4 linked regions of the Drosophila melanogaster genome follow. The gene in region 1 interacts genetically with each later gene. Each region holds a gene or a part of one and is shown in the gene's direction. Other genes may lie near its edges.

Region 1 (4,000 bases):
CATTCATCGAGTTCTCCAGCACGAAGGAGCATAGTGTAAAGATCTGAGAGAACTCCGAGCACATGGTGTCTTTCAGGTGCTTGGCCTTAGTCTGCGTGATCTGACCCTGCGAAAAGTCGAACACCTCCTCACTAAGGTTCTTCAGGATTACCATGTTGTTCATGCACAGGCTCTCGTTCGTTTTCGACGCACCGACAATGTCACTGATGAATGTCTCCCAGTTGCGTGGCCATTCGCGCTTTAGAATGTGGACCAGAATCATGTTTAGCTTATTCAGATACACTTTGTTCTGCTCCATAACAATGGGATCCGACGAGGTCTTGATGATAAGACTGACCACATACTTCTTGATTCCCTCGCACTGGTTGCGCGGCAGGACCTTCCAGCGCGTTTTGATGACCTCCTCGAGGATTTGCAGAGCATAAAACTTGGTCCGCTGGTTCTGTGAGTACTCCAATATGCTGTCCACCCGCGTCCATGCCTCTGGATGCTCCTTCAGCGTGGTCAGTATGCTCTGGGCTAGACGCAACTGCTCGCCCTGCGCTGTGTACACAACCTCGACGATCTTGTCCAGCAGATTAATGTCCAGCTTCTGGGAGAAGTCGAGCAGCTTGCCCGCCTCGTCCGATGTCAACATTGTCGCCATCGCTTTGTAGTAGAAGCGGCGTTCGCGTCGGCGTCGCTCTGCAGTTGTGTCCGCGTTAATTTTGATAGCTTCTTGGCTTCCTCCTCCGCCGGATGAGCTCGGATCTCACGTTTTTTCCCTTTGGATTTCTTGTTTTTGCTGTTTTTTTTTTCCACTTTATTTATCGAAAGTGCGCGGCGGCTTCTGCTTCAGCTTCTTCTTCTTCGCACTATGATGACGGTGAGGAGCGGCGACTCTCGATCTGGATCGGGATCTGGATCTGGTGCCGGGACTGGACCTGAAGCTGTGGAAATAAGACCGTTGGTTATACATATTGCGTACTTTTACGCCTGTCGACAGGCAACCATATTTCTTTTTTGTTTTCTTGTTTCATTTTTTTGGAACACACAACTACAAGCGCACGCTGTTGCCTGCGCGCGCTACACTTTTTCGCACTCGCACACATACAAGCGCTCGGCACACCACACATACGCACACACTGGCACAGGCGAACGCATCGCCGCCGCAAATGCGACAAGACTGCGGCGGCATTTCCCAAATTTTCTTAGCTTTTCAAAACGCGCCAGCGAGGACGCAGTGTGTAATTAATTAACAATCATGAACATGTAATTCACATATCAAGCTTACCTTTTACCGATTCCAGAAAAGAGCAGCGTGTGAAAACGACGACGACGGACAATGCGAAATGCAATTTGTGAGAACAGTGTGCCCGTATGGTGCTGAACAAACATACGTCCACAGCCCTGGTCTACAGGCATGCACGCAAAGTGATCGATAACGTTGATCGAATAAAATAATCAAATGGCATGGATGAAGATGCTTAGTTTGTTGGCTTACTTACTGCCAGAAACATCGATGTCCCTGATATCGAAAAACATCGATGTTTTAAGCAGCGATGTTTTAAAAAAAAATACAAAAAAATATTATCTGTTTAATTTAATGGAAAAACAAACCAGTATGCATGCATGCATAAATTGACATAAATATATTTGAATTTGATCTGTTCTCCTGAATCAGCTACAAAATACTGCATCTTACTGATTTATTACATTAAAACACTAAAAGTATGCAAGTAATTCAGATAAAAGTTTAAAATAAATCATATTAATTTACTAGTGCATCGCTTATTTTCGATAATTCAAAACGAATCGATTTAATCGATGTAAGCATCATACGTAGCAGGTTCGGCGAAGAAGAAGAGCTGCGATGTCCATCTATTTGTTATGTTTGACAACAAACGGCGGATTGCCAGTGTTTACACGAAAGAAGGGAGAATGCGAAAATGTAAGAGTAACATATTGCCTACCTATTCACTTAGTTAATACCCTTTCTCCATATCCAGCTGCCCTTCTCGACGGTGGCCTCCTTAAACGGCTTTCACATGTTCTTTAAGTCGCTGGGAATCCAACTGGAGGCCACGACGACCAGCAAACAGCAGCCTATCCAGAATCAGGCTCCCGCGGATGCCGAGGAGTGGACTTACATATGGCGCGACCGGGAATCCATCACCCTGATCGTGTGCGGCTGCGGTGTTGGGTCGGAGCAACTGCTTCAGACGCTGGCTGATCTTGTCTTTGGAGCGATAGGCATGTTCATTACCCGGGCCGCAGAAATGGCACATGCAACGCTCCTCGATAGACTGAAGAAGGACGCCAAGAAGTATGTCCCGATTGTTGACGCTATTCTGGAAGCCGCCTGTGCGGGTACACAACTCCTGGGCTACACGGACTGTCTGCTGGCGGCGGAAAACGCCCAGCTGCTGCAGTGTCTAAATGAATTTAGTGGCCACTGTGGCTCGCTCTTTTGCTGCCTGGTTGTGGGACACCGTATCGCTGTGGCCACTGAGGGCTGGTGGGATCTGGACACTCGGGACCGCGAGCTGCTGCTGTTTCTGTTGAATTCGTCGAGCACAATGCAACACGATGTGCCGGTCTATTTGCCCGTGAAAAGTCCCCATATAGCCTACCGCTTTGTCAGTATTCCTGTGGCGTCGAACAGTGCTCTGTGTGTCCTGTGTGGCGCTGAGAATGCCTCGTTCCGAGAGTTGCATGCACATGCCATGAGTGCCTACCGGAATGAAGGCAACCTTTTGGCAGCCGCCGAGCGATGCGTGCCGCGCAGTCTGCCCGAGCATCTGGAGATCGATGGAAATGTGCTGGCCATCATTCTAATTAACCGACACACGCGAAAAAGTCTCTTTACCAGAAATCTAAACCAGTCGGCGAGTGTCAAGCGCATCATTGTGGGCGATCTACAGCGCTTGGACATTCTAAAGAAGTTTTTCGATCAAACTATGGATGCAGTCCACCAATTTGAAACCCAGTCGTCCAGCAATAAAACTACGTTAGTGGACCAATATAGCTGCTCGGACTACCACAAGTGCTATGCCCATATGGATGAGCTGGGCAATGTCATATTCTTGTTGTTTGTGGCAGCGGTGCCCTCGCACGCAATGAGGTGCGATTATAATTATTTACTTTGATGACAAGGTTTTAAAATCAGTATTGTATTTACAGATTCCTTGCGCAACGCATCCATGCTAATATACTCCAGGAGAAGTCAGTATGTTGGTGATACGATATTTCTTTCTAAGCCTAAAGACTGATTTTTGTTACTACTTTTCCATGAAATAATGTTTTTTTTTAAATGACATTATATTTAACGAACAATAGGGTACAACTCCTTTTCTAAAGTTAAGCGTAATTTTTGACAAATCTTATATGTATATGCTACATACTAATATGGCTTTAATGACTTACAATTCCGTCCTTACAAATACTATTTATATATTTTAAATATACAATATGTCCTTATCCTTTTATTACAACATTGTATGGGCGACAATAGACCAGTTGTTTCTTGTTTAGCTCTAAGGGCTTTATCCTTGGATCCAGAAAAAATTGTACTATAGATCCAACTGTAAGTTGTGTGGTTTCTCCTTTTGGAGGAAGAATATTGAAACTACGTCCATTATCGGAAGCCACTAGGGCAATGGTAACACCATACTGGTTTGTAACAGACAAAATTTTAGCCGTGTGAGTGGCTGCATGGTTTTTAAGTTGACGCTGATCCATTCTTACTTTTTTGAGGACTTTACGGAACTCCTCAGCATAGCCTCCTTTAACACAGCGAGGGTTTGCCTTCAAATTGACTCTATTTTGGCTACTTGGCAGATACTGCCTAGGACTTTCACTAGGAACAAGTTGAATAGCTGGAGAAGATTCGGTATAGCTATCCTCGGTCAATCCAGAGCAGTTAGATTTATTCAGCGAGCTTTGACTTAACGATTTCCAAGAAGTTTGGAATGAAGACGTTGGCAATCGTTGAGGAGTAGGTGGATCAGAGTCAATGTTC
Region 2 (7,733 bases), on another chromosome or scaffold:
GCGTGTGTACTTTCGCCGAACGATAAACTGTTAAAATTGCTGGTCAAATTGAGTTGCGGCCCATTTATTTACTTTGCATTTTATTGGCCGCTTTGCAAATTGCTCTTTAATCGTTTTTGTATATGTTTTCCTGACGTAGCGTGCTGCAGTCCAGGATCGAATCAATATTTAATGGCGACCGCGTTTCCACATTCCCAGGCGGAAGGGAGTCGTCGCTGATGGAATTCTGACTTCGTGCGCCCAATGAATCACCCCCAAAAAGGGGGGCGGCAAAGCAGCCGGATAGTGCGGAAAATGGGCAAGTGGGAACATGGGAAAGATGGGAAATGGGAGCATGGGCAGCCGGGGCGCTGGAGCGGACAATGACCACCTGACTGCGCTTCCTGTGGGAAGGTCTCGAGGAGCGGAGGAGCAGAGAGCATCCGAGAAATTACTATCAATATTGATTTTTATTCGCAGCCAGTGCCGTCTTTGTTTTTCACATATTCATGGCTCACACATTCACAAAAATGCACAGTGCGCGCTCGCTACAGTTAACTGGCAAGCAAAAGTAGTTATTTAGATTCTCAAAGGAAAGATAGTTTCAATACTGTAGTAATATTAGTAAGAACTTTAAATTCACAGTACCATTAAGGCAGCAATGTAAGGATTCTCAAAACACGTACTTTCCTGTTGGCATGTTCCCTTTATCGAGCGTGCACTGTGATTTTTCTTTGCCTTAGAAAGAATGGGAAGATGGGGGCACGGAGGATGGGCTTGAGAGGCAGGAGGAGGAGCAGGAGGCGGAGAAAGAGGACGAGCCACCACCAGCAGACAGACTGCGAAAAAAGAGACGGCAGTCACCCCAATGTCGGAATTTACTTTTGCACTAACTTGGCACTTTTAACTTTCTACTTTCTAAGGTTTCCAATACCTTTTCGCCGCCCCTCGCCACACACACTCACACACCCGCCGTTACGCGACACACACACACACACGGATGGTGGCGTGCAACAATAAATACTGATTTTGGCGATTGGTGCGCCCGAAAACACGTTGAAATGCCACCAAATTCCGCTGAGCACTGAGCACTGAAAGTCGAGTTCCTGCCGCTTCTCCAATTCGCGATGCCTAGCATTTCTCTACGTCTCGTCCTTCGTCCTGTCGGCCGATAAATCGCGATTGCCGAGCATGCGCGTGCTGCCAGCCAAGTGGGTTGTCAGCAAAGGCGATGAAATTATAGCCGCAATTGGCCCTTACAAGACTGGTGCGCAAATCTTGCGGCAACACATTTCAATTTGCGCTTTTTCGAGTCCGCCGTTGAAAGTCAAACAAATGCGCGTCTTGTCGTTTGGAACAGCTGATTGCCAGGTGCTTCTTCTTCTGCGAGTGCCAGCCACTGGGAAGCAGTGTTGCAAAGGGACGGTAGAGGTAAATAACAGGCGCTACAAATTTAAAATTTAAATGCAAAGTGTTCTCACGTACATGTTTATTCAAAGCACTCAATAATAGTATGTACTTACTTTAATAACTAAATATTATATGCACATTGGACAATGAATTATTACTTATTTATTTATTTTGTAACCAATCTTTAAGTCAAATGGGAGGATGTATATATATGTTTCATTCTCCGCTCGTAAATTATTATTGGAGACGTGCAGATAAAATAAAAGCAAACCCGTTCACATCGAAGCTCGCCTGGTGTGACCATCCACGCTGGTCAAACTACTTTGCGCACGCCATGGTCGCACTGCTCGCAGCAAGCCAGGCTTGGCATTCAAATTTCGATCGCGACGAGCAACAGGTGCGATTTTTGGCATTCCGGTTCGCAGTGCAGCGCATTTCTCCCACTTGGCGCCCTAAAAAATCGGCCGGGGGCAAAAACCATAAACCATGGTGTATATCGTGTGTGCAAGTTGACTTTCACTGCGGGTCAATTCAGAGATCGGGATCCCAGGCGACGTTCGTCTTTAATTAAGGCGCTTCGCACGCGTTGTCGTCGTTGTTTTAGCTCCAATTTAGCTGCTTTAGCCGTTTTATCTGCTTGGTAGTTTTGGCCAAGTAGAAGAGGGGCTCCGCTGCGAACGTGTTTACGATTTTCTGTGCGATCCCAAGCTGCGATTCGAATGCGAGCTTCGCGTTTTCGCACTCGAAACTTCTTTTCGTCTATTTCTCACCCAGAAAACACAATCGCAGTAGACTTTTGAGTTGATTTTAGTGAGAAGAGGCAGTAAAAGAGCCATGAAAAATATGGCAAGAGATAAAAAAACAGACAAAAACAGAAGAAGCAGAGGGCGACACTGTGCGGAGTACCGTTAATGCGCGAGTAACTATTTAATCATGATTTAAATAATGAGGAATTCGCGCTCGTAATTGATTTAAGTAGCGCTCGGCATTTGCATAATTTTCCCCATACGAACACACACACTTGCAAGCCTGGAAAATCCGTTTTTCCTCTGCAGCAGCAGCGGCAGCACAACAAGTGCACATGTGTAGGGGTGTGCAGCCGTGCACGGCATGCATGCATGTGGCCGAGTGCAGGTGTATTGGTGCTGTTGTGAACCTAAATGGACAAGTTAGAATCCACATTCCACAACAATGGCCAAGAAAACGGCCGCCGATCTATCAGTTCCTTGGGCAAATCCAAAGATAATTGCAGCGCGGCGCTCCATTCGCAATTTACTCCACAGCCTGTGCAGAAAACAAATGGTTGCTCACAGGCTCAAGATTAGAACAATCTGAGGATCGGTGCTCTCTTTTGTGGAACAAATCTTTAAGTGTACACATGGCTATTGAACTAAATCTATAACCGGTGGCCTTAATTATCATGACAATGAACTACAAAAAAGTCAACGAAAATAGCATGAACCTTTTAGAAGAAGCTGTAGGAAAAAAGTCGCGGCATAATTAGAACGAGCGAAAGGTTGCACAGTGGGTTAAAGGTGGTGGTTTGGGTTAAGAAAGAATCGGTGGAGAAAATGGAAAACACAAATCCTGTGTTACCTGTCCGTCTAGTGCGGAATGCCGACTGTGTGGAAAGAGCTCAGAAAAGACTGCTGGGAATTAATTAATTGTTGTATTTGTAACCTTCGAAGGCAGATCACTATATTTAGGCCAATAAAATCTTGAGAATTTCACGCAAATTCATTCATATCAGCCACATTTTACACAAAAAAGGTTCGTTTATTATTGAAAAACTGAGAGAAAATTGGGAAACGCTGTAGGCTATACATATATCTAATGCTTCTTTCGAAGCTTAGATGAATCCAACCCGAATTGATGATTGGTTTGTTATTGTTTTTTCGAGCACCAAGCTTCCGATCTATTTTGAGAACCTTGAAACCAAGCTAATTTGCTTACGAAACGAATATATCTCCTTTAGAACACAATGTAACCAAGTGGGCCCCATCCGTTTGGTCAGATATTGTATCTACCCTCCATATATATTCCGAACCCACTTAGCCGCACAGCCGTCCGCCCACGAAGCCGCAGTAAGCAACTGTAAACGGGGGAAAGGCCAGAAGAAAGAGCACAATTTTCAAAGAATTCATAAGCACGCGCTAATGCGAATACTAATGTCATGCGGGCTCCATCTCCATCTCTCTGCTGACCAGTATCCACTGGCCCCTGTCGTCCCACCTAACCACCAGACCACCGCCCAACTCCAAAATCCCACCCCCCCCCCGCCCGACCACCGCCTGTTACCTGTGCGTAAGGTGTGTGGAAGCACCTGTTGTTGAACAACATAACCGTGCGTGCCCGGCCGTTCGTGTTGCGTCTTATTAGAAGCCGCATTCGGTGGCCCCTGGGCCAGTCGGTAGAAACAGAGAAAAACAAGAAAGAAAAACAGGGGAAACGAAAAACAGACTTGGCCAAAAGAAGCGAGAAACACAGCGCTGAAAACCGGTTGACGTGGAAATGAAAGAAAACCTTTTGCATTTACAGTCAAGCTTCGGGAAGGGAAATTAATTTGAGTCGAAATATTGGTACAACTTCTCGCGCCTTTTCAATTTAAAGCAAAGATATCTCCAGAAAACAAAGGTTTATAAAAATAGATGGATAGTTGTTCCAATATATAATCAAATAATAAAACCCCCAAATTTGCTTTTTCACTTCATATTTCTTTAGTTCAAGCTAACGAAGTTTGACTGTAGCACTTGCCGTATGTTAAAACTGATGTCGCTGAATAGTTGGATTTTTCTCTTTTTCCACAGATCGAATTTGGTGAAATCAATGCGTAGAAAGTGAAACGAGATTCAGACAAAGTTGGGGGAAAAGTGAAAAGCTGCGGAAAACTTGGCTAACCAAACAAACACATTTGAACACACTTGCGTTGGGCGGATTGAGATTTCGTGCTCCTCCAACCGATTTGCCTGGCCAGGAGCTGCAGTTGGAGCTGGAGCTGGAGCCAGAGCCACAATCAAACACCTGGGCGAGCGGCGGCCCACCTGCCGGCTTAGATGCGTCTAATCCAAACGGCAACCGGCGGTGCTGCTGCGTCCGTTCTGCAGACCCACTCCCAGGCGCAGTACAACTACACCAGCATGCGTGAAGATGATATCGAGCTGGCCATTAAAGTGGTAAGTTGCCCAGCCGGCTGCGTGAATCTCTGTCATTCGGATGATGAATGGTTGAAATGAGTGCACTGCAAGAAAAAAAGATGGCTACTATTAAACCAAACCCACATATACAATTGATTATATATCGTATCAAGAAGAGTTCTGCATATCCCAAAATGGAATGACTTCTTTCCAATATTAGTATATTAATCAACTTCCATATGTTAAAGCATCAGATCATCTAATAGTTTTTCTATATATTTTTATAAACTTCTAACTAGTTCTAAATAATAACTTTCTGTGTAATTTTCCCTCGCCAAGTGTTGTGAATGGCACCTGTAAGATAAAATCCGATGGAAATGTCTGTTGCTAATGGCGAAACTGCACGAATTAAGATTCTAGTTCAATTAGGGTTCTCCTCTCCCTAAATAAAGTTGTTTCTAATGGTTTTTCTGGAATTGTTTCAAATTGATTTATATGATTATTTCCGAATGTGTCTTTCTGCAGACAAGCCAAATTTGATTGACATTTACGCGCTTAATTAACTTAAATGGCTAACCGTTTTAAATGTCCAGTAGAAAGCACATAAATATTGTGAACAGTTAATTTTCTCTCCTTCTGGTGAATAACAAAACGCTTTTTTGCTTATGATTGAAATAGCAAAACATAACGTAAGACTTTTGTTTTGAAATATGAACTAATAACAACTCTGGTATTTTCCATAGGTCATTGTTGGAAATGGCGGCGTTGGCAAGTCATCAATGATCCAGCGCTATTGCAAAGGCATTTTCACGAAGGACTACAAGAAAACGATTGGAGTGGACTTCCTAGAGCGACAGATCGAGATCGACGGCGAGGATGTGCGCATCATGCTGTGGGACACCGCCGGCCAGGAGGAGTTCGACTGCATCACAAAGGCGTACTACCGCGGCGCCCAGGCTTCCGTCCTGGTCTTTTCGACGACGGATCGAGCATCCTTCGACGCGATCAAGGATTGGAAGCGCAAGGTGGAGAACGAGTGCAACGAGATACCCACAGTGATTGTGCAGAACAAGATCGATCTTATCGAACAGGCGGTGGTTACGGCCGACGAGGTGGAGACGCTGGCCAAGCTCCTCAACTGCCGGCTCATCCGCACCTCCGTCAAGGAGGACATTAACGTGGCGTCCGTGTTTCGCTACCTGGCCACCAAGTGCCATCAGCTAATGACCCAGAGCTACGACCAGGTGGCCGGAAACCAGCAAAACTCCAGCCATCCGCCTTACAGCAGCACGCCCACGATCAGCGCCTTCAGCCCGACCTTCACAAAGTCCAGCAGCGGCACCATCGTCCTCCGTCCGGCGAAGAAGGGCCATGGCTCCAGCGTGGCCCGAAAGCGAAAGATAGTGCTCAAGAAATGCGGAATATTGTGAGGAGTTGTCGGATTAGCTGGTTAGATGGCGGCAGGGGCGACTCGGCTGGCAATTAATATCTGGAGCATATTTAACGCCTAATTATTTTGGAGCCTAATGATGTTGTGGCCGGGTGGCCAGCCAACCGTTGGATGCAACCACAGCCATTCACTAGTCGTGCACAGACTCCGCGTGATGTGGTTCAGACATGCTTACGGAACAGAAAAAATAATCGGAGGCAGCAAATTGGATCTTCTGGATCCCCACGAAGATGAGATACCCTTGCGGTCGAACTGAGGAACTAAATATTTGATTTACACTGCACAACGGAAAGTTTTCACCATCTTTCGGGCCGGTTCCGATATCTCACAAAAATGTATTCATCTTTGGTTTTTAAAACTACGATTTTTAATATACAGATTTAAATTCTATGCCGGATATTGTTCTTGAACACGAAAATTATAAGAAACACCCAAATCATTTAAGACACCATAGAATAAGCTAACTTTTCGGTGTATTATTTTAACTGCAACTATTTAATACTCCTGTTTATATTTACCATATATAGAACGTATATACAGACCCAATACTCACTTGGCCACACGAGCCATTAGACCAAAACCATAGCACCCGATCTGCACGGGTAGATGATGAGTTCTCGAAACCATAGACAATATGCACGAGCACTGGCAGTTTCTCAAAAATTTCCACAATTAGTTATAGATACGAAATCAAATTTGTATGTATGTATTATGCCCGCTTTTCTATAACGGAGACTGAAGCAACTTTGCTTTCATATCGAATATGTTTGTATATAGGGGTTAGCTCCCTAACCAAGCAGAATTAAAAGGCTATTTATCACGCTACCAAGCCCAGATCACAGGTCCATGTGAAATCCCTTTGCCAATTCGCGTTGGCCAAATGTGCAATTAAACATTCAGCTTTTATAATTATTAACTAATTGCAAGTCATGCCAGAGCGCAATTTGACGCGATTCATGTAGACCAGTGCTGCTCGCATTCTATGCAAAAAACTGCAGATAGAGCACAGTGAAACTCGTGAAGCATGTAACATGTAAGCCGAATAGGAGTTTAGAAATAACTAATAAATAATAAATAACCCTAAGCCCATTAATATTCTATTTATGCATGTAATGATCCATTAATATGTTTACTTAATAAATTATTTTATGTAAATTAAGTCGATTGTTGTGCAATTGGGATTCACTTTTGGAAAGTCAGCGGGCAGGAATTTGATGAAGTGGGTTCGAAATTAAAGTAGCATAATGGGTTAAGATGTCATGGGTTAAAACAGCAGTCGTAGTTTTGAAATGTTTACCATTTTTTATTTGATTTTTGATTTTACACTTTTTTTGTAAGCTTGACAATTTTGCGATCCGCTTCTGTTACACCATCGTTTAAACGTTTCCACATTTAAATCGTTTAAACTATTTTAAATATATAATATTTCTTTCTTTATATTTACAATGCGCGTTGAAAAACTATCGCTTCGCAACGCATAAATCATTAAATGTGTATATATCTATTTTGTTGTAATTTTCAAGTGTTTCCTTGTATTAATAAAGGCATAAATAACTATTCGTCAATTTCCATTCTTATTTATTTACACAAAGTCGAAAAATCAAAATATCTTAGATATAGGCAAGGAGAGAGAGTAGAAAGTTCGATTTCTGGAGGGTCAGGGGAAGAGAGTGGTAAAAGCTGAGCATAAAACTGTGTTTTTCGCAGGCTGAGCCCAAAAGATTGTGTTTCTTGTTTCTTTGTGTGTTTGGGTTGTGTTT
Region 3 (5,186 bases), on another chromosome or scaffold:
TGTCCCTGAGGGTTCCGTTGGGAAACTGCCACCATATCACCTCGTCCTTGATCAGATCCAGCAGACAACTGTTCCCATCATCCGATTCGTACTTCAACATGAGGGATTTGAGGTCCGTTCTCTCCTTGCTGACCTCTTCGGCCTCTTCGCTGGATGTTGTGGCTGAATCTGGTTCTATTATCAAGCCATCCTGGATCGAAAACTCGGTGTATGCTTCCCTTACGTTTCCAAGGAACAGGCATACTAATACGATCACATCCCATATATATTTTGGACACATATTCACTGAATTGCGCACCTATAGTGCTTGTAATGGGGGATTATAAATAAGATTTGACAGCTGTTTGATTTCACAATCACACAGATAATCGCGTTCTATACAATTTTTAGCCACTCATTCAGTTTCACTGGGTATTCCGAAATCTAAGCCACATTTTGTGATAGTTAACCGCGGCCGACATTTCCCGCAAATCACTTTATTTGCGGCTGGGCGAAGCACACGCCTTGGATTCGCGCAATGGACTGGCTGGAGGACTCAGCTTGCTCCGATGGTCAGCAGAAATAATAGGTAGCTGCGGTACACATGTGCGGCTAATTCTGCCATGATACGGCTTATCAATTTTGGCAATATCTTCCCTTGAATGGCCCGGGACTATCAGCGTATCGCTTTTTCGGTGGCACTGGGCGTCCCGCTTCACGCCCACGCCATGTTCCTTATCGGATAATTATCTGGACGTCGGAGTACGGCTATTAGGCCCGTACTTCAATGGGATCGGTGCTCCGGATCAACCGATATAGCCACGGCTCGCTTTTGGCCAGCACATAGTGAGTTCAGTGAGACACAATTTTCTATACTACTCGATTGTTTGCAGATAGAAAAGTTTTGATTTACGGCGTCCAGTCCGGAGACCGATATGAAAAAAATCACTTGGAAAATCTTAGATTATCAGACCATCGGCGATACGAAAAGGTGGCCACTAAAACACCCGGGTCCACAAATGCCCAATTAATTATATCAATTCCCTTCATATCATGCATACACAGTTTATTGGCCGTAAAATAATTTATTGGGAGATAGGACTTCAGCGGTAGTCTCCTATGACAAATGATCATCGGATACCCATTGAGGAAGCAACATTTTACTAATCTTCCGCTGATTAACACAATCCTTATGATAGCACACCAATTTTGCTTTAAGTTCCACCAAATCTTCAATGCGACTTTGTGCAGAGTCAGCATATCGCAGACGGAGCTCTATTTTTATAAGGATTTTCCATGATTATTATTTATAACTTAATATCACGCTGAAATCAACTGGTTAGCAGTCCAATCGTTAAATGCGAACACTTATAAAAAGAAAAGAAATTGGTTATTGTATTATGGTAACTATACTTGTCTTAACCCACGGTGGGTTTTGAGTTTCCCCAGCTTGAAAGAGAACCAGATCACAAAGGGAGTGGATCGTTTCCCGCTGGAATTTGAGTGGAGTGGTATTGAGCTGGTCGGAGCCAGAGCTCAATTAGAAACTGGTTTTGAGTGCTGAGATCGGATCTCGGCTTTCAGTCGACATTCAGAGCTGAGCTGAGGCGGTATCAACCGGCGGCAGATAGTTGAGTGTGTACCTGGAATAGTAGGCCACTAATAACTATCCGCCCAGTTAACTATCCCCGGTAAACTATGCGCAAATCGCCGGCCAGCCTGCCGTCGGAGGCCTTCTCCAGTTCGAACTCCTCGCTGAGCAACTCGTACAGCGATGGCAGCGACCTGGCCAACTGGGAGGAGTACGTGTCCACAGACGGCAGTCTCTTCTACATGGAGTATGTGCGATGTGAGAAGACTGGCGTCTCGGCAGAGCGGCGGGTGGAGTTCATGCGTCGATCGCTGCGCCTGGGAAAGAAGTCGTCGCGTCGCCAGCCGCACAGCAATAATCAGAATCAGAGTCAGAACCAAAACCAGTCCCACGGCCCGAGCAGGTTGGATAGCCAGACGGAGCCGCAAGAGTTCCGCTTCTCACAGTTCAAGACGGCTGCCCCCGATCCCAAGAAACTGGATCTGGTGATCACAGCCGCTGATCGCTTCCGTTTCGGACGACGATCCACGGCGGTGGAGTCCATACTGGGCTTCCGGGTCCTGCCCTTTCCGGACCAACCAGAATGCCTGATGGTCGATGGGTTCGTTCACGATGTGAGTGCGCTGCAGCACGGCATCAAGCGGGGAGATTGGTTTAGATCCCTGAATGGCATAGAGGTGTACGCCAGCAATGTGGATGAGTTGCTCAAGCAGTTCGTGGAGCCCACTCAGGTGTGCCTAGGCTTCCAGTCGTGCGGTGCGGCCAGTGCAGTTTCGCCCACCGATCCGGGGTATAATCGAAATGTCCGCGAGGAGCAGGTGTGCAAGGTGGAGAACTTTCCCATGTTCACGGAGAAGTTTGAGCAGATGTTGATAACGGAGGGGAACTTCGGTATTCCCGGTAGTTCCGTGGACATAAGAATGCCCTTTGCTATGCTGCTACTCCCACCGGAGTGCTATCAGCATGAACAGCAACAGGATTCCCTCTACTACTTTCCGGAAATCCCCGACAACTTCCTATTCAAGGCCCGTGGGAGTTTCCTCACCCTGCACGCCGTACTCAGTGAACTGCACACCCAGCCGCTGAGTTCAAGGCTGCTGGTGGATCAGGTGCAATACCACGTCAACTACCGCCAACTGAATGGGTTCCTAGTCCTCTTCGCCTACGCCGGAGGACTCTGCTGTGCGGCGGAGTGCAGCCTGCGATCGGATGAGCTAATCGGATACATACGCTTCTCTCTGCCGGGCTTGGTCCTGGAGAGCTTTAATCAGGAGAGAGAGCCGGGGAATAGTTCGAGACTGAAGCTGTTCCTTCGACACTTTTGCGAAATCCAGAGAACCCGGCTCGTAGCCAGATGCCATGGTCATATTCGTTTCGAGGAGCTCCTGGGCCAATCCCGCAGCCTGCCACTGCCAAAGGAAGCGCAGCTGCGCATCTTTGATGCTCTGAGTGAAATGGAGGCCATGGACTATCGCAACTGGAACGACGAGCCACTCACCACCCATCGCGAGTTCTTCATCTACGGCAGTGCGCTGTACTACGATGGCTTCCTGGTGGCCAGCCTGCTGCCACCGGAAGTGAGGGTGAGTGTAGAAGGATTCCTGCGCTGCCGCGGAATCTTCGAGTTGCTCGGAGCTGCTCCGGGAATCAAAGTTCGCGAGATGTACGTGTGGGAGGAGATAGTGTTGCCCAGTGCCACAGGGCGATATTTCCTTACCATCTGCACCAAGAACCACTTGAGTCTGGCCGTGATCTTGAAGATCTTCGATGCTCCAGACATGGCGCCGGATGCGGTGGTGGGTCCATCGCTCTTTTACATCGAGGAGATTCAAGAGACGCTGGACCACCTAGTACAGTGCGGCATTGAATCCCTGGCCATGTTCTGGTCCGTTTCCAATAAGAGACCCGAGGTGCTGGACGCCACTGCCAGCGAGAGTAGAGATCAGGAGAAGGAGCCGAACAACCGACTGGAGTCCTTCCTCAAGCAGAAGCTAACCGTGCTGAGTCCTTCGGTGGAGGAGGAAGCCCAACTGTGCTCGTCCCTGGGTGGGTCTTCCATACATAGTCTGACTCCCAGTGAGGACGAGTCCTGTCGCAGGCGATTGACCCCCATCCATGGTACTGCCGAGGACTCAGACAGCGGTTCCGACTGGGAGAACTTCGCCGTACAGCATCCACTTCACTATGGACTGAATCTCGGGGCCGAGAGCCACAGTCAGAGCCAAATGACAGAGTCCATGTGGAAGGAGATCAACAACGTGGTGCCGGTCAAGATATCCGCTGGCTGGAAGAATTCCGTTCTGCACTACGTCTACATTGACATAGCCAATGGGTCCTTGTTTGCGCCATTTACCGACAGCTCCGAGAACTCCAACTACCTCTCCGAGATTCGTCAGGCGTGTCACATAATCCACGCCGTGCTGCAGAAATCCAAGCACTATCGCAGGCATCTATCGGAATCCTCGAGAGCACAGACGAACTCGAACGGGCACAGTAGCCACACAGTGTCGCTGGTCAAGGAGCACGGCATGATCCTGGAGGTCAGCACGCAACCCAAGTCGGACGGGCAATCCCAATCCTCGACGAGCAGTCGCTTCGTGGTGGTTGGTCGTCTCTTTCAGTCGCCAGCCAAGGAAGTGTACGTGTGTCACCGGTCCGATGTTCCCCAGAACATAGTCGAAATGGCCTTCCGGTTGTCCTTCTTCTCAATGGGATGACATCTTGGAAGGATACTACCAACTTAGATACTGGCTATGCGTAGAATTCTTGCTATAATATAAACACAAATATTTAAAATGTGGTTTTAACTAAACAAATTACTTTTATATAGGCATTCAAACAATTTTTTAAAATTATATTTAAGAATGCATAATTAATCATTTTCAGCAATTCTATTACGAAAGCATTTGATTTAGGGGAAGTGCAATTTTGTATTTTCAAAATTCGAAAAGCGCAAGCTTGCCAAAACTCTAAGAAATTGAAAAATATGTACATTTCCTCTGAAACGCAGCGAATAAATATGTATGTATGAAGGTATTTCAAGAGGAACACAAACATCGTGCGAATGTGTTTCATTCATTCATAGTTCGTACTAGAGAAGCCATCAAAAGTGTACACTATTTTTAGAGTTTGGTGGGAGGGTCCCATTCTAAAAGTAGTTCCACGCACCAGAAGTCAAAAGACACGCCGACCAATAAATCCACGTGAACGAGTGGCTCAAGGTGGTGCTCCCCAAATTGCCAATTTCCCAAGATTCGTCGACAGTTGTGTTTGGGTGTTTCAACAGAAGAGGATTCTTGGTGGATGGATATGATGACAGCTACGTGGATGCTGTGTCTTGTTCTCTGCTCCACGGCGATGGCGACGGAGGAGGAATCGGGCAGTGGACTGTTCAACGTCACCGGGAATCCCTTGGATACAGAAGCTGCTCCAAAACTGCCCAGCGAAGTGCAGAAAGCTGTTTGCACTGTGACTGCGGGGGAGGTGAAGGCATCTGCCGAGGCTGTCACCACAAAAACCCTTAAGGGAGTGTGTGGATCAGGTGGGTGGTCAGTGGTCTCTTGCCCGTTTGATCTTGAAACTATTTATGCTTTGTGTGCAGATGAAATGAACATGG
Region 4 (4,859 bases), on another chromosome or scaffold:
AATTTTGTATCGGGAGTCAGTTGGGTCAGTTGGGTCTATTGTAAATCGGAGATAAGCAATTTGGATTGGTTATAGATATCCAGACCCTCCTGTAACCACATCCTTAACCTGGCAATGCACAAAATAGAGTGAGGCCAAAGTAATTTAGCGATCTTCGTGTAACCTTAGTTTAGTTATGCCAATCTTTCAGTTACCAGAGACTCAACAATATCGAACACCAGCTGCTACGTTTTGAAGTATTCTCAATTAAAGCCCAGTATAAGATGTGTAAACCTTTAAAGTTGTGTACACGCAGGCGAATATATACTGTATATGTATACAAAAGAAATATATAAAGAACCTATAAATCAAACTATATTGGATTATTGGGTGCTCAAGGAAGAAAGGTGAGTTTTATTAGTAAGAGAATGTAAGCCCTTTCATCTTATATTGTAGAACTTACCCAAAAGTATGCACTTAAGCTCAATTTATAGCAAGTTGATAGAATCCCGAAATGATGGTAGATAATATTTAGCAGCCTAAAAGATAACTTATAATTTGTAAAGTAAATTATTTTACACATAAAACATGTGAGTTTATCTCTCGCGGGAAATGAATTGGTGATTTGCATAAAATTACACGACAAGACAAGATAATACTAATCGGCTATATGAAGGCAATGGCCAATTGCAGTTTAGTTTTAAGATTAACTTGTGATGACTTGTTTTGAGCGGGCCATGGAATGGAATGATGGCCCAGAAGTTCCCATTCGGATTCCACATTAGTTTTATTTCACCGCACATTTACCAATGCGGATCTACGCCGGAAAAAGAAACAATCGCACATTAATGAAAACGCCCAGGGAGTGGAGAATAAATGGCCGAGCCATTAAAATGGCGATACATCAGTTAGCCTGGGGGCATCAATCATTATGCAATTTTCGCGAAGCCGGCCAGCAGCTTTGGGCCACTTTCTTCGGAGGTGGTTCAGTGAACGGGTTGTGGCGGTGGGCCTGGTCGGATCTGCCTTTGGGCAAAGTGCTCTAACAGGAGCAGCGACTAAGACTAACTAGTTCGTGTCGCTTTTAATGGAAATGGATACCCGAAGTAGCCTTGGCAGCGACTTTGGCTGGGTTTCGGTGTGGGAACTGGTTTCGGGGTTGGGAAAATCGCGCGGCACTCGCTTGATGCACTTGTCGACGTGCCCGGCCTCTTAACTCTATCGCAAATGTGGCCAATTAGAGATTAAACGACAATTTCAATTTAAAAACGCTTGTAAAACAGACCAGCCGAAAAGCCAACCTGATTTTCCTGAGCTGCCAGTGGCGGCAATGGACTTGTCAAACCGATTCGATATCTAGAGGGGATTGCCGATGCGTTTTAGCAGTCTCTAAATCAGTCAGTAATAAAAAAAATTGAGCTTCTGATTATTCTAGTACATTTTTAAATTCTCTATATCGTAAATTATAAAAGTACTATGCTATGTTCCTACTATCTATCGAATACGCATGCTATTATTCATATATATATTTTTTTTAATACTTATTTAATTAGGACACTCCCTTTATTAATTTACCTTGTGCAAACTGACAGAACTTCATTGCATAGATAGCTTCTGAAGCCGAAGCTCTCGGATAGTGACATCTTATCCAAGGGCTACCGATTCTCGAAGTGCATGAATGGATAGAACCGAAGCTCGTGGAAATCCCCCAAACAAGTTCGCTATCTACGCGCCTGAAGAGCAGCAGCTCCATGTGGAAAGCCACTCCGACCAGCAGCGGCAGTCGAGCCATCTGATCGCGGACTTCATTCAGTCTGCAACTCGCGTTTCAGCCAAGCAGACGCGGCTTAGAGCACAGTTAAAGCCAGGCCAAAACCGAAACTATAGCCAAAAGCCAAACGCGAAGCTAAAGTCGACGAGCTGGCGAAGTGAAGATCGGTAGAGTGGAGTAAATCAAACCGAGGCAGCTAATAAAAAGTGCTAATGGTGTGTTTAAAATATGAATAAACCGAGTATGCCTGAGCCACAAAAACGGTTACAACAACAACCAATGCCACAACCACAACGGTAACAATAACAAAAAGAGATTTTCTTTTTCGTGGGACGAAGAAATCGCATTTGCATTTCACCGCGCTGTTTGGTAGATTAAATTGGATCAAATCGAATCGATGGAAGTTCGGTGTTTGTTTGTGTGCTCGTCGCGGCCAAAAGTGTTGCTACTTTCATAAAAAGGTTATAAGAATCTGGAATAGTGAATAAATAAATGCAAATATTGGAGACCCGTTAAGCAGAGCCGCGGAAGAACGAACAATAGGATTTTGAGGGAGAGTCACCCGGCGTGAGTGGGTAAGTCAGTCAGTCTGTCTGTCTGTCCAAGTTCTGTGCGTCCATCTATCATGCCTTCACTACGATTTGTAACTGTCACAACAAACGGGTTGTTTTGGTTCAGCACTCCCGCCCGGCCAGTTGGGGAAATCCATAGGATCGTTTTACTGGCTGAATTCACCAATGCATTCGCTGTGTGCTCTGCATGGATCAAAGTTATTAAATAATTAATGACCAGCGGTGCAAAAAGAAAAACACAGATTGCTGCATGTTTGGGGCATTATTTACGGCCTGCTTAGCTAGACGTCCGTATCGCAGCTCTCATTAGGCCAAGCATGAAGCTCCAGAACACCCATCCCAGCCTCCCATCGCAGGTGCTATCCGGCCAGCTGGCTATACAGATCATTTAGCCATCGATTTGCATCTCGAAGAAAGCGGCTCGGTGGCTCTAATTTTTGGCAATTACATAAACCCCATGCCCTCGAGGGCCTGTTCCACAAATGATGCGGCTCCAACGAGCCATGAGCCACACTTTGGTAATCTGAGAAAACCAGACAGAAACCGAAACCATTTTCTCGAAGACGTTTATTTTTGGCAGGAACAAATGAGCAGATGAAGATCAATCTCTGCCCAACTGATCGGTCGCCACGGGTCTGTCCACACGGATCACTCTTTCGGCCACGTTCAGATAGGCCTCGTACTCCACAATGTCCGGCGTGGTGTCGTAGTGATAGTGGCCTCCCCAGTTTGCAAAGGAAAACGAGTGGAAGTGCTGCAGGCGGAGGTCCAGTCCCATGTCCTTGGTCACCAAGGTGCCCACTGCGTTTAGCTGGGCGGGCATTTCGTAGAACTTCAACCAGTTTTGGATCTGTTCCTGTGTGTGGATGGGCGTCTTGCTAAAATCTCGCATTACGTGCTGGTGGACACATCCCCTCCTGACCACGAACATTCCTCCCAAGCCCACCACCTGGTCTCCGTAGTGCCGTTCCAGACCCTTGCGAATGCATTCTACAAAGTTTTCCCCTCCAGTGCGCTGTTTTGCGGAAATTCGGAGCACTTGACCTGGTTTTCCCTCGCTGAGGAAGAGGTTCAGGATCAGAGCAGCACGAGATTCGGTTTCGGGAATCCTTTCGAGAACACAATCCTCATTCGCTCCCCTCACAGTGGCCGTGTAGCTTCCTTGAGTGAGTTCATCCTCTTCGTTTAGCGAGAAATTAAAGATCCCCTCGCAATTGGAGTGACGAATGGGCCACGGACCTGCTCCCGGTCCAACTGCAAAGATCTTTCCTGCTCCTTGGGTCCGCCGAGTGATCTCCTTCAGATTGTAGAGCTTATCTCGCTGCACCAAGGGCCGCAAATAGGGTGGCCCTCCTGCTTCTAGGAGAGTGGCCTTTCCGCCCAGTCCACGCTCCACAAGGCCAAACTGGGAGTCCCTTAAATCCGGGCAAGCTTCCACACTGACATCTACGGTCCGAAAGTTCTCATCCAGAGCACCCTGTATGACTGGAGAGCAGGTGGAAAGCTTTATTTGACGTATCCGCTAGATGAGAACTATTTTTATCAGCTATTCCACGCGGGAGTGCTCACCTCTTTTCAGTTCCGAGAGGGGCGGCACATGGAGTGGCCTCTCCTCAAAGAGCAACTGCTCCGTTTGAAGGTGACTCCCGTTCATGGTATCTCTGCAAATATTTCGGTACGGGTTCAGGGCCTTTCCTTGCTGGAGGTAAACTAGCGACTGACCGAAGCACCATCGTTTGGTAAAAATGTCTGTCATTCGAACGCCTGTCATGATAATGTTCTACTGATACAGGGCTTCCAATTTATAAAAGTATGTGGTTTTCTGGTTTGAGTTTCTATTAAATATACTATTTATAATGACCTGTTTTCAAAATAACAAAGTACTAACCTAGAGAAGTAATTTTAGATTTTGTAAATTTGGTTGGCCAGCTAGCTGATAAGCTATTTTAGTATTTGTTAAGCCTGACAGGGATTTGAGCAGATAAAAAGACTGTTTCTGTTTTCGAGCTTATGTTTTGTTTATTTACTATTATTTATTGGGGGTTGGGGCAATGGAAAAGTCGGCTACAACTAGATACGGCAGATAAGATCTAGTCGCGTCCCACTTTGTGAGTGGCCACGGGCTTATCCACCCGCACCACCCGTTCGGCTACGTTCAGGTAGGCCTCGTACTCAACGATATCCGGCGTGGTGTCGTAATGGTAGTGACCGCCCCAGTTGCTGAAGGAGAAGGAGTGGAAGTGCTGCAGGCGAAGGTCCAGGTCGTGCTCCTTGGTCACCAGCGTGCCCACGGCGTTCAGCTGGGCGGGCATCTCGTAGAACTTGAGCCACTCGTTCACCTCCTCGTCGCTGTTGATGGGCGTCTTGCTGAAGTCCCGCATCACGTGCTGGTGGGCAGCGCCCTTCTTGATCAGAAAAATGCCACCCAGACCCACCACCTTGTCCCCGTAGTGGTTCTCCAGGCCCTTGCGGATGCACTCGATGAAGTTCTGTTCGCCAGTGCGCTGCTTGGCGGTGATTTTCAACACCTGACCAGG

The links.
Region 2: of fy (region 1) and Rab23, changing one enhances a phenotype caused by changing the other (phenotypic enhancement), as found in Drosophila melanogaster (one study listed by BioGRID).
Region 3: of fy (region 1) and in, changing one enhances a phenotype caused by changing the other (phenotypic enhancement), as found in Drosophila melanogaster (2 studies listed by BioGRID).
Region 4: of fy (region 1) and mwh, changing one enhances a phenotype caused by changing the other (phenotypic enhancement), as found in Drosophila melanogaster (one study listed by BioGRID).

What each region holds. Positions count from the first base shown.
Region 1 is NT_033779.5:8,400,934-8,404,933, reverse strand, and holds fy (fuzzy), read left to right. Parts: upstream 1-1,653; 5' UTR 1,654-1,852; coding exon 1,853-1,930; intron 1,931-1,988; coding exon 1,989-3,103; intron 3,104-3,162; coding exon 3,163-3,220; 3' UTR 3,221-3,456; downstream 3,457-4,000. Other genes in the region: emb (embargoed), read right to left, coding at 1-646; CG31898 (uncharacterized protein), read right to left, coding at 3,457-4,000. UniProt on the Drosophila melanogaster protein: Plays a role in the organization of cell polarity via a planar cell polarity (PCP) cascade. Involved in the development of the hairs on the wings.
Region 2 is NT_033777.3:5,679,451-5,687,183, reverse strand, and holds Rab23 (Rab23), read left to right. Parts: upstream 1-1,749; 5' UTR 1,750-1,786; intron 1,787-4,196; 5' UTR 4,197-4,442; coding exon 4,443-4,562; intron 4,563-5,266; coding exon 5,267-5,953; 3' UTR 5,954-7,130; downstream 7,131-7,733.
Region 3 is NT_037436.4:20,365,639-20,370,824, forward strand, and holds in (inturned), read left to right. Parts: upstream 1-1,559; 5' UTR 1,560-1,677; coding exon 1,678-4,287; 3' UTR 4,288-4,621; downstream 4,622-5,186. Other genes in the region: Toll-9, read right to left, coding at 1-280; CG13247 (uncharacterized protein), read left to right, coding at 4,874-5,111, 5,172-5,186. UniProt on the Drosophila melanogaster protein: Plays a role in the definition of cell polarity via the planar cell polarity (PCP) cascade. Acts downstream of fuz and accumulates asymmetrically in wing cells to regulate planar polarity in the wing. Probably acts by regulating ciliogenesis.
Region 4 is NT_037436.4:1,198,991-1,203,849, forward strand, and holds the start of mwh (multiple wing hairs), read left to right. Parts: upstream 1-1,795; 5' UTR 1,796-2,325; intron 2,326-2,880; exon of another isoform or gene 2,881-2,923; coding exon of another isoform or gene 2,924-3,807; intron 3,808-3,891; coding exon of another isoform or gene 3,892-3,976; exon of another isoform or gene 3,977-4,046; intron 4,047-4,325; exon of another isoform or gene 4,326-4,412; coding exon of another isoform or gene 4,413-4,859. Other genes in the region: meep, read right to left, coding at 2,924-3,807, 3,892-3,976; CG9119 (uncharacterized protein), read right to left, coding at 4,413-4,859.